Mus musculus: one gene and its partners. The protein of the gene in region 3 purifies or fractionates together with the protein of the main gene of each other region. This does not show direct contact. Links are inferred from orthologs where the notes say so. Each region holds a gene or a part of one and is shown on either strand. Other genes may lie near its edges.

What was found.
Region 1: the proteins of Ccnb1 (region 3) and Espl1 purify together in Homo sapiens (affinity purification with western blotting; 5 studies listed by BioGRID and IntAct, with this or other methods). This does not show direct contact. The link is inferred for Mus musculus from reciprocal best matches to the Homo sapiens genes CCNB1 and ESPL1.
Region 2: the proteins of Ccnb1 (region 3) and Foxm1 purify together in Homo sapiens (affinity purification with western blotting; 4 studies listed by BioGRID, with this or other methods). This does not show direct contact. The link is inferred for Mus musculus from reciprocal best matches to the Homo sapiens genes CCNB1 and FOXM1.

Annotation. Positions count from the first base shown.
Region 1 is NC_000081.6:102,295,463-102,299,208, reverse strand, and holds the start of Espl1 (separin), read right to left. Parts: upstream 2,917-3,746; 5' UTR 2,794-2,916; exon of another isoform or gene 2,450-2,793; 5' UTR 2,441-2,449; coding exon 2,360-2,440; intron 1,026-2,359; coding exon 1-1,025. UniProt on the Homo sapiens protein: Caspase-like protease, which plays a central role in the chromosome segregation by cleaving the SCC1/RAD21 subunit of the cohesin complex at the onset of anaphase. During most of the cell cycle, it is inactivated by different mechanisms.
Region 2 is NC_000072.6:128,362,002-128,365,747, reverse strand, and holds the start of Foxm1 (forkhead box protein M1), read right to left. Parts: upstream 2,755-3,746; 5' UTR 2,631-2,754; intron 91-2,630; 5' UTR 44-90; coding exon 1-43. UniProt on the Homo sapiens protein: Transcription factor regulating the expression of cell cycle genes essential for DNA replication and mitosis. Plays a role in the control of cell proliferation. Also plays a role in DNA break repair, participating in the DNA damage checkpoint response.
Region 3 is NC_000079.6:100,784,038-100,787,783, forward strand, and holds the start of Ccnb1 (G2/mitotic-specific cyclin-B1), read right to left. Parts: upstream 2,450-3,746; 5' UTR 2,366-2,449; coding exon 2,345-2,365; intron 1,867-2,344; coding exon 1,696-1,866; intron 1,582-1,695; coding exon 1,420-1,581; intron 1-1,419. UniProt on the Homo sapiens protein: Essential for the control of the cell cycle at the G2/M (mitosis) transition.

The DNA of each region.
Region 1 (3,746 bases), on a different chromosome or scaffold from region 3:
CCCCCAAGAAAAGCAAAGAGACTCAATATGGCATCAAGTCCACAGTGCCTCCTGATGCCTCTCTCCAGGCCTGAAAGGAAGAACTGGCAGCTGTCGTACAATGCCCGGAGCGGGGGCGACGGCGCCTCGATACTGTTGATAAGAACGGCTGCTGCCTTCCTCAGAAGCTGGGCCACTGCCCCTGGTCTTTCTTCTACAGCTTCCAACAGCTCAACCCCCATCTGGCATAACTGGAGGCTAGGAGCTACACTGGTCTTCTCTAGGTGATTACGAGCCCTCTCCACTGCTCTGGCAGCCTGGCGGTGGTGGTGGTTCCAGCAGAGCCGACGGCAGTGTTCCAGGGTGATTTCCAAGAGGCAGAGGGCCCTCTGAGGCGAGAGAGGACCGGGAGAGCTACCACCCTCACCTACTAAGACTCTGATCAGGTGCCTAGAAAGCACTTCATACAGGAAGTCGGCATCAGCTTCATCTAGACCTTGTCCTGTAGCATCGTACAGCTGATAGGCGGCAACTAAACGACAGGCGGTTGGAGAAGCAAAGTGAGGGACCTCACAGGGGACACTGCCATCCTCCAAGAGCACCAAGAAGCTCAAGGCATTCAGCCGAGTTGAGAACGCAGCTCGCCGCTCCAACAGTGCCTCTGCTCCCTTCCAAAACAGAGAGAAGCTGCCCCGGGTCACGGCCTCATAGTCCTGAGGGGCAGCCTCTCCAGAGTTCTGAACCAAGCAGGCATGGAGAGGCTGGGCAAGGCGCAGCACAGTGTCTGGGCTTCCCTGAGTGGAACCATTGCGAAGTAGGATGAAGAGAATGCGTTCCAGGTAGAGGGGAGGGCGCTGTGGAGTAGACAACAAATAGCCATCACAGGCCAGCTCTGCCAGGTCCAAAATACTCCTCAGGTGCCCAGGGCAATCGAGCTTGGCAGTCAACTGCTGGGTGCAAGCCCTCAGGATGGTATCGCAAATTTGTCTTCTTTCGGCATCTGTTCGGCTGCTGGGGAAATCAGTCCGGGATCTGGACAGGAACTCCTAGGAGAAAGAATCAAGCCGCGTGAGCAGAAAAGAAAGGGGGGGGGGGGCAGAAACAGGGCCCCACAGGTTCTCATGTATCTCTCTCCAAGTTACGGCAAAACACAAGCCAGGCTTGGTGACACAGGCCTGTGTGAAGGCAAAAAGACAGAAGAAAAGTTCAAGAGCTTCCTGGGCTTGAGCGAATGAGCACTGTCTCAAAATAAAAAAGTGAAAACAGGCCGGGCAGTGGTGGCTCAGGCCTTTAATCCCAGCACTTGAGAGGCAGAGGCAGGTGGATTTCTGAGTTCGAGCGAGGCCAGCCTCATCTACATAGTGACTTACAGGACAGCCAGGGGCTATGTAGAGAGACCCTGTCTCAGAAATCTTTAAACATATATATAATATTTAGATAATATATAGCTTACATATTTCATACTATATATTATATATGCTTGTATATAACATATGAAGACATAGATGATATGTTATTTTTAAAAGTGAAAACAGATATAGAGATATAGCTCCGTGGTGAAATATTTTCCTGAATGCATGAGATCCTGAGTTCAATCCCCAGTATGGAAAAAAAAAATTTTTTTTAATTAAAAATTAGAGGGCTGGTGAGATGACTCAGTGGTTAAGAGCGCCAACTGCTCTTCCAAAGGTCCTGAGTTCAAATCCCAGCAACTACATGGTGGCTTCACAACCATCCCTAACGAAATTTGATGCCCTCTTCTGGAGTGTCTAAAGACAGCTACAGTGTACTTACATATAATAAATAAATGAATAAATAAATAAATAAAATTAGAATGTAAAATTTACTATAAGGAGAATGATAAAACGTAAACAAAAACCGATGTATAACTCTCCCAAACGGAGAACATAAACCAGAGTGTCCTTAGGAGATGATCACATTAGTAGCCCTAGGGGAAAAAAAAATTTTTTTTTTCAAAGACAGGGTTTCTCTGTGTAGCCCTGGCTGTCCTGGAACTCACTCTATAGACCAGGCTGGCTTCGAACTCAGAAATTCACCTGCCTGTGCCTCTCAAGTGCTGGGATTAAAGACATGTGCCACCATTGCCCGGCGGAAAAATAATTTTTTAAATAAAAATAAAAACAATAAATAAAAAGGAAAAGGAAGCCGGGCGTGGTGGCGCAAGCCTTTAATCCCAGCGCTAGGGAGGCAGAGACAGGTGGATTTCTGAGTTCGAGGCCAGCCTGGACTACAAAGTAAGTTCCAGGACAGCCAGAGCTATACAGAGAAACTCTGTCTCGGAAAAAAAGAAAAAAGGAAAAGGAAAAAAACACAGATAATCTCAGAAACTAGGTGTGTCCTGAGCCATAAAGGGTCCCACCTTCAAGTCAGGCAGCAGCTGCTGGGTCTCCTCCTTGCTGCAGAGCAGAGTGGCGAAGTTGACTCCTTTGAAGTTCCTCATGGCAAAAGTCTAGATACAACGAAATGGTTTGTAGAAGCCTGCGAAGGGTTGTAATGGAAATAACTGGAGGAAAGAAGGGATTGAAAGTTGTAGGAGGATTCAAAGGATGAAGCAGGCAAAGAATCCCACCAGAAATCCTATGCGGGGAGAGGCCGATATAAACTGGGCTCCCGTTACAAACTGACAAGTCCACTGTTCCTTCCTCCAGGACGCTCCTTGTCCTCAGTGTCCCACCAGGCCACCGCAGGGGTCTCCACAGGGTCCTGGGCGCCGAGCACACCCTTTCGGGGGCCGCCGAGCCTCCGCAGAAACGCCCCGTTTCTTCCCAGGTCAGCAATGGGAATGTCACTTACCGCGGCTTGAGCGCGCGCTCACCAGACCCTCCGTGCCTTAATTCCCTCGAAGCTGCCGTTCCTCACCGGCCTAGCAGCGTCCTCCAGCCCGAGCTCCACCAAGCACCGGGTGGGCACGCTTCGTTTTCCGCGCCAGCACCTCCTTTCAAATATCCCTAGTGACCAATCAGCGAGAAAGCGTAACGCAGGCCGGCCGCGTGGCGCTCTGGGAGTTGTAGTTTATCTGCCGCGCTGTCTGTCACGTGTTCCTGGAGGGGCGGGTACAACTCTGGACCGGAAAGACTCTGGGACACAGTCTCCTTCTTCAACCTCAGTCAATTACAGTCATTTCGCAGTTGGGTGGTCAATCACTAAGTCTTTCTTGCCTTTATTCCCTGAGCTCAGGCAGGATTTTAAATTTCAAGAGAATTAAAATAAGAAACCCACATGGCTTGCTTTGCGTTACTAGGAAAGAAAAGGTGTAATAGCCTTTGATGTATTTTTTTGTTTTTATTTTTGTTTTTTGAGACTGGTTCTCACTACGTGATCCTAGCTGTCCTGGAACTTGCTAAATAGACCAGGCTGGCCTCTAAGAGAGATCCACCTGCCTAATGCTGGGGTTGAAGGTGTACACCACCACACAGGGTCTTTGGGATTCTTTAAAACTCTGACTTTGTGGAGAGGGACACTGAAAAGGGTGCAGGGACAACCTCCGGGTTCTCCTAGGTTCTCCTCCCTCCCAAGTTTGGATTCCAGCCTACATCTTACATGGGTTGTATAAGAAAGGCTATAGAGTTGAGTGAAGAGTAAAGGGAAGAATTCATTGTGAACGTTCACAGTCTTTTGTTTTGTTTGTTTTTTGAAACAGGGTTCAAAATACTGAGCGTAGGGATTTCTGAGTTCCAGGACAGCCAGGGCTACACAGAGAAGCCCTGTCTCAGGAAAAATCAAAAGAAAGAAAGAAAGAAAGAAAG
Region 2 (3,746 bases), on a different chromosome or scaffold from region 3:
TCCGTCTTTTGAGAATCAGTGGCCGGCGGGGGCTGGTTCTCATCGTGAGGCTGTGCTTTCGCTCTCCATCGAGAATCGCAAGCTTTGACCCTGAGGAGGGCAAGGAGAAGCTGCCTGTCAGATCCGCTGGGCTGAGACAAACTGCATGAATGGCCAAAAGCAGAAGCTCAGAGGCCCAGGGGAATGCTGCCCGGACCTTGGTCAAACCCTCAGACAATAAGGGCAGAAGCTAGGTTTGATACACACTTGTATTCCCAGCACCTACAAGGTTCAAGGTCACCCTTAGCCAGACAGTGACTTCAAGGTCAGCCTGGACCACATGAGACCCTGTCTCAAAACAGACATACAAAATAAATAAAGCCCTATTACTGACCAAGGAAAGCTACCAGTTGCAGCAAACACTTCAAGATGGGAACCTGGGACTGGACTGGAGTCAGTGGTCCCCTGGAAGCTTAAGAACGTTTGGCCAGCGATAGAGTGCTTGCCTAGCAAGGCCCTAGGTTCAGTTCCCTGTACTATGAAAAGGCAAACAAACAAGACAAAGATGTGTGTGTGTGGGGGGGGGGGTGCTGGCAAGATGGCTCAGAGACTGAAACCATCAGCTGCTAAGCCCGGCCACCTGAATTCAATCCCCAGGACCACAATAGTGGGAAGAGAGAATCAGCCCCCGACCGGTTCCCTCCAACTTCCACATATACACTGTGGCATGTGGGTCAATCCTGCCCCCAGTAAAAATGTAAAAACATCTTTAACATCTTTTTAAACGTTTGGCCAAAGGAATACATGAGTCATCTACAAGAATGTGGAAATGCCTGCCATTGTGTACTAGAAGGCAAGTCACTTGCAATGACTGGGGAGAGGGATGAGAGACGATGGGTCGGGTGGACAGGAGGCTATTAGGAGTCCTGACAATACTTTTGATTCTGCAGTCCTTTCTGTGACAACGCCTTGGCCAGTTTACATCTTTGCAGGTCACAGGGTCAGTGCATACAGAGGCAGAGGCAGGAGGCCCTATTGCCACAACACTGGTGAGATCAACCACTAGTCTGCAAGATCCCAGACAAAAGGGGGGGACTTCCGTACTGATGGCTCACAGCAATGTGTGTAGACTGTGCAGTCTCATTTATTCCAAAGTTTTCAGTACTGTGACTGAACTCAGGGCTACACATACAGTAGGCAAGGACTCTACTCTACTCCTGAGCTATACCCTATGGCCCTTTTCCATCAGTCTCAAATAATGCAGGGGACCTTAAACTTCTGATTCTCCTGCCTCCACCTGTTAGAATCACAGGTGCAGCTACAATACCAGGTTTATGTGGTGGTAGGGATTGAACCCGGGGCCTTGTGAATGCTTGTAAGTGTTCTACAATAAAAACCCCAATCCTTTTGAATTGGGAAAAAAAAAAAAAGATTTTCAAGAGCTTCCATTAACCACTGAGCCATCTCCCCAGCCCCATTACATTAATTTTTTTTTTAAAGTGTGTTTTTCTTCTTTCAAAATTTGCAAAGCATTTGCACAATGATATTTTGGTACCTGAAAGTAACTATATTTTAGTGGGATTTTTTTGTTTTTTGTTTTGTTTTGTTTTGTTTTTGAGACAGGGTTTCTCTGTGTAGCCCTGGTTGGTCTGCAACTCAGAAATCTGCCTGCCTCTGCCTCCCAAGTGCTGGGATTAAAGGCATGCGCCACCACTGCCTGGCAATATTTTAGTTTTGTGAGTATAATACTCTATATACCTTGATCTTCTGCTTCAAAAGTAAGATTGTAATACTGATCTCCTTCATACTAAGATGTGCCATCATTAATAAGCTTAAGGTGGCTTTTATATTTGAGACAGAATCGCCTGTAGTCCAGGCTGGCTTTGAACTGCTGAGCCTCTGGCCTCTAATTTTCTAGTTGCTGAGATTACAGTCACTCACCACTATGCCTGGCTATGCTAAAGTGGTTTTGAAACGCTAAGGAAGGAAGTCTTTAGAAAAAGCATTCCTATGGATTTTTTTATAGGTAGATAGAATAATTTATCATTAAGTTAAATCCTGTCACTTTTGCAATCCTGTGAGAAACAGAGAAAGCAGCTGTCGCTTTAGGACACCTGCCAAAGAAGGGATTACACTCTTTTGACGTTTGCCAGCTGCTTAAGAGTTCTCAGGTCCCTTCCACCCTGCAGCTCTCTTCATACTCCGTTCTCTCGACCTTCAAATCTCAGTTTTCGTTTTCCTTCCCATTGCACCCCACCCCAATCAGATGTTAGACACCCCCCCCCACCACCACAGGGGCTCTCTTTGACCAGCCTTTCCCTAACACTCCCAATATCTTCTAGCGGAAGGAGACTTGCAGAGCCACCCCACGACCCCATTATTCTCCACACTCAACAGGGAACCTTGCAACCAACACTCAGCCAGGATCCCGCCCTGCAGCGGTGGAGGCGGAGGCAGGGTTGACTGCAAATGCAGACTCCGAGGGCAGGCCTGTTCCCAGGGTCCGGGGATGCTCGGAGAACACGGCGGCGGCAAGGCCGAGGCCGGAGGCTCAGACCTTCTTCCCGGCGGTGCCCAACACCCCCTCGCGCCCCACAGCCCCGGCAGTGCCGACTCCGAGCCCTCCCTGGACCCGGCCGCACCCCACTCACCTCACAGGCCGCGTCTGCTCCACGCGGGGCCGAGCCGGGCCCGGGCGGCGGGTCCCGGCGGGACGGCCGGGGTGGGAGCCCGGGGCGGGGTGACGGGGGAGCCCGGGCCGGGGGTGGGTCCCGCAGCGCCGCTTTCAGTTGTTCCGCTGTTTGAAATTGGCGCCGGCGGAGCGTTGCGGTCACGTGACGGAGCGTCGCCAATCGGCACCGGCTTGTCTCCGGGTTCCGGCCCCGAACGCTCGGTGTCCTGAGGAGCGGCGGCCGCGGCCGGGAGGGCGGGTAAGGCGGCCCCGGCGGGGCTCGAGGGGCGGCGGGAGGGACGCGGGGACGCGCGGACGGCGGCCAGCAGCCTGCTCCGCCCCGCCCCGGACCGCCCTGCCTCAGTGGTCGACTTCCTTCCGGGACAGCGTACGCCACTTCCCCGGGCTGGCTACCCACTCGGTTACCCCTGGGTCCCCCGCCCCGCTCAGTCCACGCGGCTCCGTGGGGTCCGGCTTGGGTTTCTGGCCCTAGACTTGCGGTTACGTGGCTCCGCCCCGCTCCGGTCTGTGGCCGCCTCCTCCCGGGCCCCAGCCCCCGAGGTGTCCGGACGATCGTTTATTCCCTCGAAGTACTTTACGATAAGAGCGGAGGATACAGCGGCGGACCCGGGCGTCCTCCCCCTGGCCTCAGCGTCTGATGGCGAGGGAGCACAGAATGAGATGAACAGATCGGTAGAATTCTAGCTACAGAGGAACAAGTTAGAGGCCGGTGGGTTTTGTCTGACACAAGGTTGTGTAGAATTCTGGATCCTCGTGTTTCCGCCTTCGGAGTAGCCGGGGTCACTGGCTCGCCCTCCCGCAGCCTCCTGTGATAACTTTGTTTATTTTAATGAGATCTTGACTTAGGACAGTAAAGCCGTTCTTTCTTTCTTTCCTTTTTTTTTTTTTAAAGGAGCTGAGAACGCGGTGTAAGATCTGTTACCCATTACACAGAAGAGAGGGAAACCCTGAAGTAAATAGAGAAGGGAGAGCTGCTTTGACCGGGAGGAGGCCTGCTGAATACAAAGGCCTAAGATGTAGTGAGTGTGGTATGCTATGAGACAGGAGGCAGGGTCTTCGCCTTTCTGAATTTTGT
Region 3 (3,746 bases):
GGTGATCCAGGCCTTTAATCCCAGCCCCTGGGAGGCAGATCTCTGTGAGATGAAGCCAGCCTGGTCTCCATAGCAAACTACAAGGCAGCAAGATCTGGTCTCATAAAAAAAGAAACTCCGATTTAGATTAAGGCAGTTTAAAAGTAGGAAAAACTAGGCTGGCAAGCCTGGTAAGGGTGCCTGTTGCCAAGCCTAACAACTGAGTTCAATCCCTAGAACCCGCAAGGTGGAAGAACTGACTCAAAAGTTGTCTTCCAACCTCTCTAACTGTGTCCTCACACACAAAATACAAAAGAGAAGATGGGAGCTGGAGAGACGGCTCAGCAATTAAAGAGCCCTCGATCTCCAGGAGGGACAGAATTCAGATCCTAGCGACCACACTGGGTGGCTCACAAACGCCTGCAACGCCGGCTCCAGCTCCAAAGAACTCTGTCTCTTCAGGCCTAACATACACACAATTGGGCACAGACACACAAAAAAGTACTCTCAATACTAGTAGGTAAAGCAAGTCAAAGGAACAGATAATAAAGTCATTTATCCATCAGCTCAGCCCCACGTGAACTTGATTCAAAAGAATGCTAAGCCAGCAATCTTTATTCAGGTGTATCCAAGCCCCTGATTACAGAGAGCCCAGGCTAGCCTTAAACTTGCAATCTTCCTGCCTTAGCAGAAGTGCTCAAATCACAAACATGCACCAATCATCACACCTAGTAGTAAAATCTGGTGCCTTCGACGTGTATGCTTTTTTTGTTGTTGCATTTTTCTCTTTTGCATTTTAATACTCAAGGACTGAACCCAGGGCCTCCTAATATGCTGAACACAATCTAACAGGCTACAAACTCAGGCAAACTTCATTTTTAGGCTTAAATGCTAACCCATCATTCCATCATTATCATCTTTTTTTGTTTTCAAATACGGAGTTTCACTATATGTAGCTCTGGCTAGACTGGACCTTGTTACAGAGACTCAGAGCCCCACCTGCCTCTGGCCAGACAGAATACTGGGATTCTACCAAGCACCTTATTTTATTAATTAATCTCATTTCTCTGCCTGAAATCTTTTTAAAAATAGTTTTTGAATATACCATCCCAGCATTGGAGGTGGAAATCTCAAGTTCAAGGACAGCATGAGCTACAGAGACACAGAAAAGAAAATGATTTATGCCCACATCCGTGTCCCAGGCCAGCCAGGAGTACATAGTGAGTGAGACTCTGGTGTCTACATAAAACAAAAAGCCCCACCATATTTATCTGCCACCATTTGACGCAGGGTGCTAATACTCACCCCAGAGTCGTTAATGCATGTAAAATGTTTTTGCTAGCCACTCAATAATAAGTAATATATTTAAATGCTGTCATGTGCATCAACGTGAAATGAAGTCAGAGAGAAGAAACAAACTTTTAAAAAATGCAAGTTTACCAAAATAGGTTCAGGAGAAAGCTTCTCTTCTCTAACATGTTCAAGTTCAGGTTCAGGCTCAGGCTCAGCAAGTTCCACCTCTGGTTCACACACAGGCACCTTCTCTACAGGTTTTGGTAGGGCTTTAACAGTACCTTTTCCAGTACCTAGCGTTTTTGCTTCCTGTGGATGAAAGGGAGAGAACAGAATGTTTTCCCAAGGGTGACAGCTAGAAGATGGGCCTTTTCAGGTTAATTGGGCTAGGGAGATCGGTACCCTTTTCAGGGCGATAGTTACCCTTTTCAGAGGCACTCTTGCCTGTAGCTCTTCGCTGACTTTATTACCAATGTCTCCAAGAGCAGTTCTCGGTCTCAGCCCGGGCTTGGAAGCAGCAGTAACTGTCACAGGCACACGCTTGGCGCCTGCCATACTGACCTTGGCCTTATTTTCTGCGTTAATTTTCGTGTTCTGAAAGAAGTAAAAGAACAACTTGAAAAGGGTCCACGGCAGCAAGCAGGCAGCCCCGAGGAAGTCACGGGTTAATTAAGGCGGGACCTAACTAAGGAAAGCAAGGGTGGTAGGATCTAGCCTCCAGCCGTGACAAGCAAGTTTCCACCCAAATCTTTCACCTTTAATCCAGTTTCCCCTTAAGTCCTAAGCCACCCTAAACATGGTGAATTTACATCGGAAAGGATGCCATAAAAGCCTCCGTCGTAGACAGCTCTCCGGGAAGGCGAAGAATTCACCCTGGGCCTTCACCATTAAGAGCACAGCACCCACTCCCCACAAGTCCTGCAGCCCAGATAGGTCCAGAGGTCTTTTTCACCCTCCATAAGGTGGGTCCTCAGCTCCCCGGCCTCGCCGGAGCCCTCCCGGATCCCCCTCCCGCTCCGGGATCCCGCGGTCTTCTCCCGCCGCGATCACCGCAGCGCCTGGCCCGACTCACCCTAGTGACCCTGAGCGCCATGGCTCCTCCAAAATCAGAGGTTCCCCGATTCGAGAAGACACCCTAACCTCTGGCTATCCACAGCTAAACACTAACAGCCGTTCCTCCGCAGCACGCCGGGAGGAGTCTGCCGGGCTTAGGTTTAAACCCCGGGCCGCTCGCTCCTCATTGGCCAGTTCGTGGCACTCGCTCTCTTCCCATTGGCGCCGCGGGTTCCCGTAGAATGCGTTTCCTGGGCGATCCCGCGATCCCAAGTTCGGCGGGGGTGGGGCGGGGGCGGGGCCAGAGCGAGGCTGCCGCTGGCAGCACCGCCCACCCCTCGCGAGGTCAGGCTCTATGCCTGCGCACAAGTCGCATTGCTGCCACCTGCCTTAGGTAGGCATGGCGTGCAGTGCTCACTTGTGTGCTGTCCAAGCTAGCCCAGGCGACTCCGTTGGACTTTAGGAAAATGACTGTGGGGAGTACGCATATCAGTTTTGCTGTTGTCCTATTTATTGTTTCTCATCCTCTTCTATAGAAGTGCCAATACTATCTTAAGAGTTCCCGAAAGCTTTGTTGCAGAGACGGTCTTTAATATGACTGTTCCAACAGCTATCTGGGATGGATTTTGAGGTTGATAGCATGAAGTTTTAGCACACATACACATAGTAAATGTTTTTTGTTTTGTTTTTGCTTTTTGTTTTTTCGAGACAGGGTTTCTCTGTATAGGCCTGGCTGTCCTGAAACTCACTCTGTATACCAGGCTGGCCTCGAACTCAGAAATCCACCTGCCTCTGCCTCCCAAGTGCTGGGATTAAAGGCGTGTGCCACCACCGCCCAGCTGTAAATGGTTATTATAAGCAAATAGATTAACATACCAAGCTCCCCAATAGCGACTGCCCCAGTGATAAAAGAAAATGTGCCTTATGCTTAATTTTGCTCTAAGTTTAAGATTACTCCAAAAATATAGTTTTGTAAAATCTTATTTAACAAAGATCTCTATTGCAACTCTCTATCTTTCTATGTCAAACTCCTTATTAAGGCTTATTAACTTCAGTGAAATTTTCCACATTAATTTTCAGTAACACTAACGCGGATTTATTTATTGACCAGGATCTCTTGTAGCACAGGTTGTTGGCATTCCTTCTATGCTCCGCCCAACAGTTACCTAGCAACAGCCAGGTAGGCCTGGCTTGCTATAAAAAGGACTGTTTGGCCTCTCCCTCTCTCTCTGACTCTGCCCTCTTTTCTCTCTCTGTCCCTTTTCTCCCTCTCTCCCTTCTCCCTCTCTTCACAGGTTCCTGGCCAGCTTCTTTTCTTCTTTTTCTCCTTCTCCCTCCCCCCATCTTTTCTCCTCTCTCTCTTTCTCTCTCCCACCCCCCCTTCTCGTCCCTTCTCTTTCTCTGTCTCTATTCACTTCTCA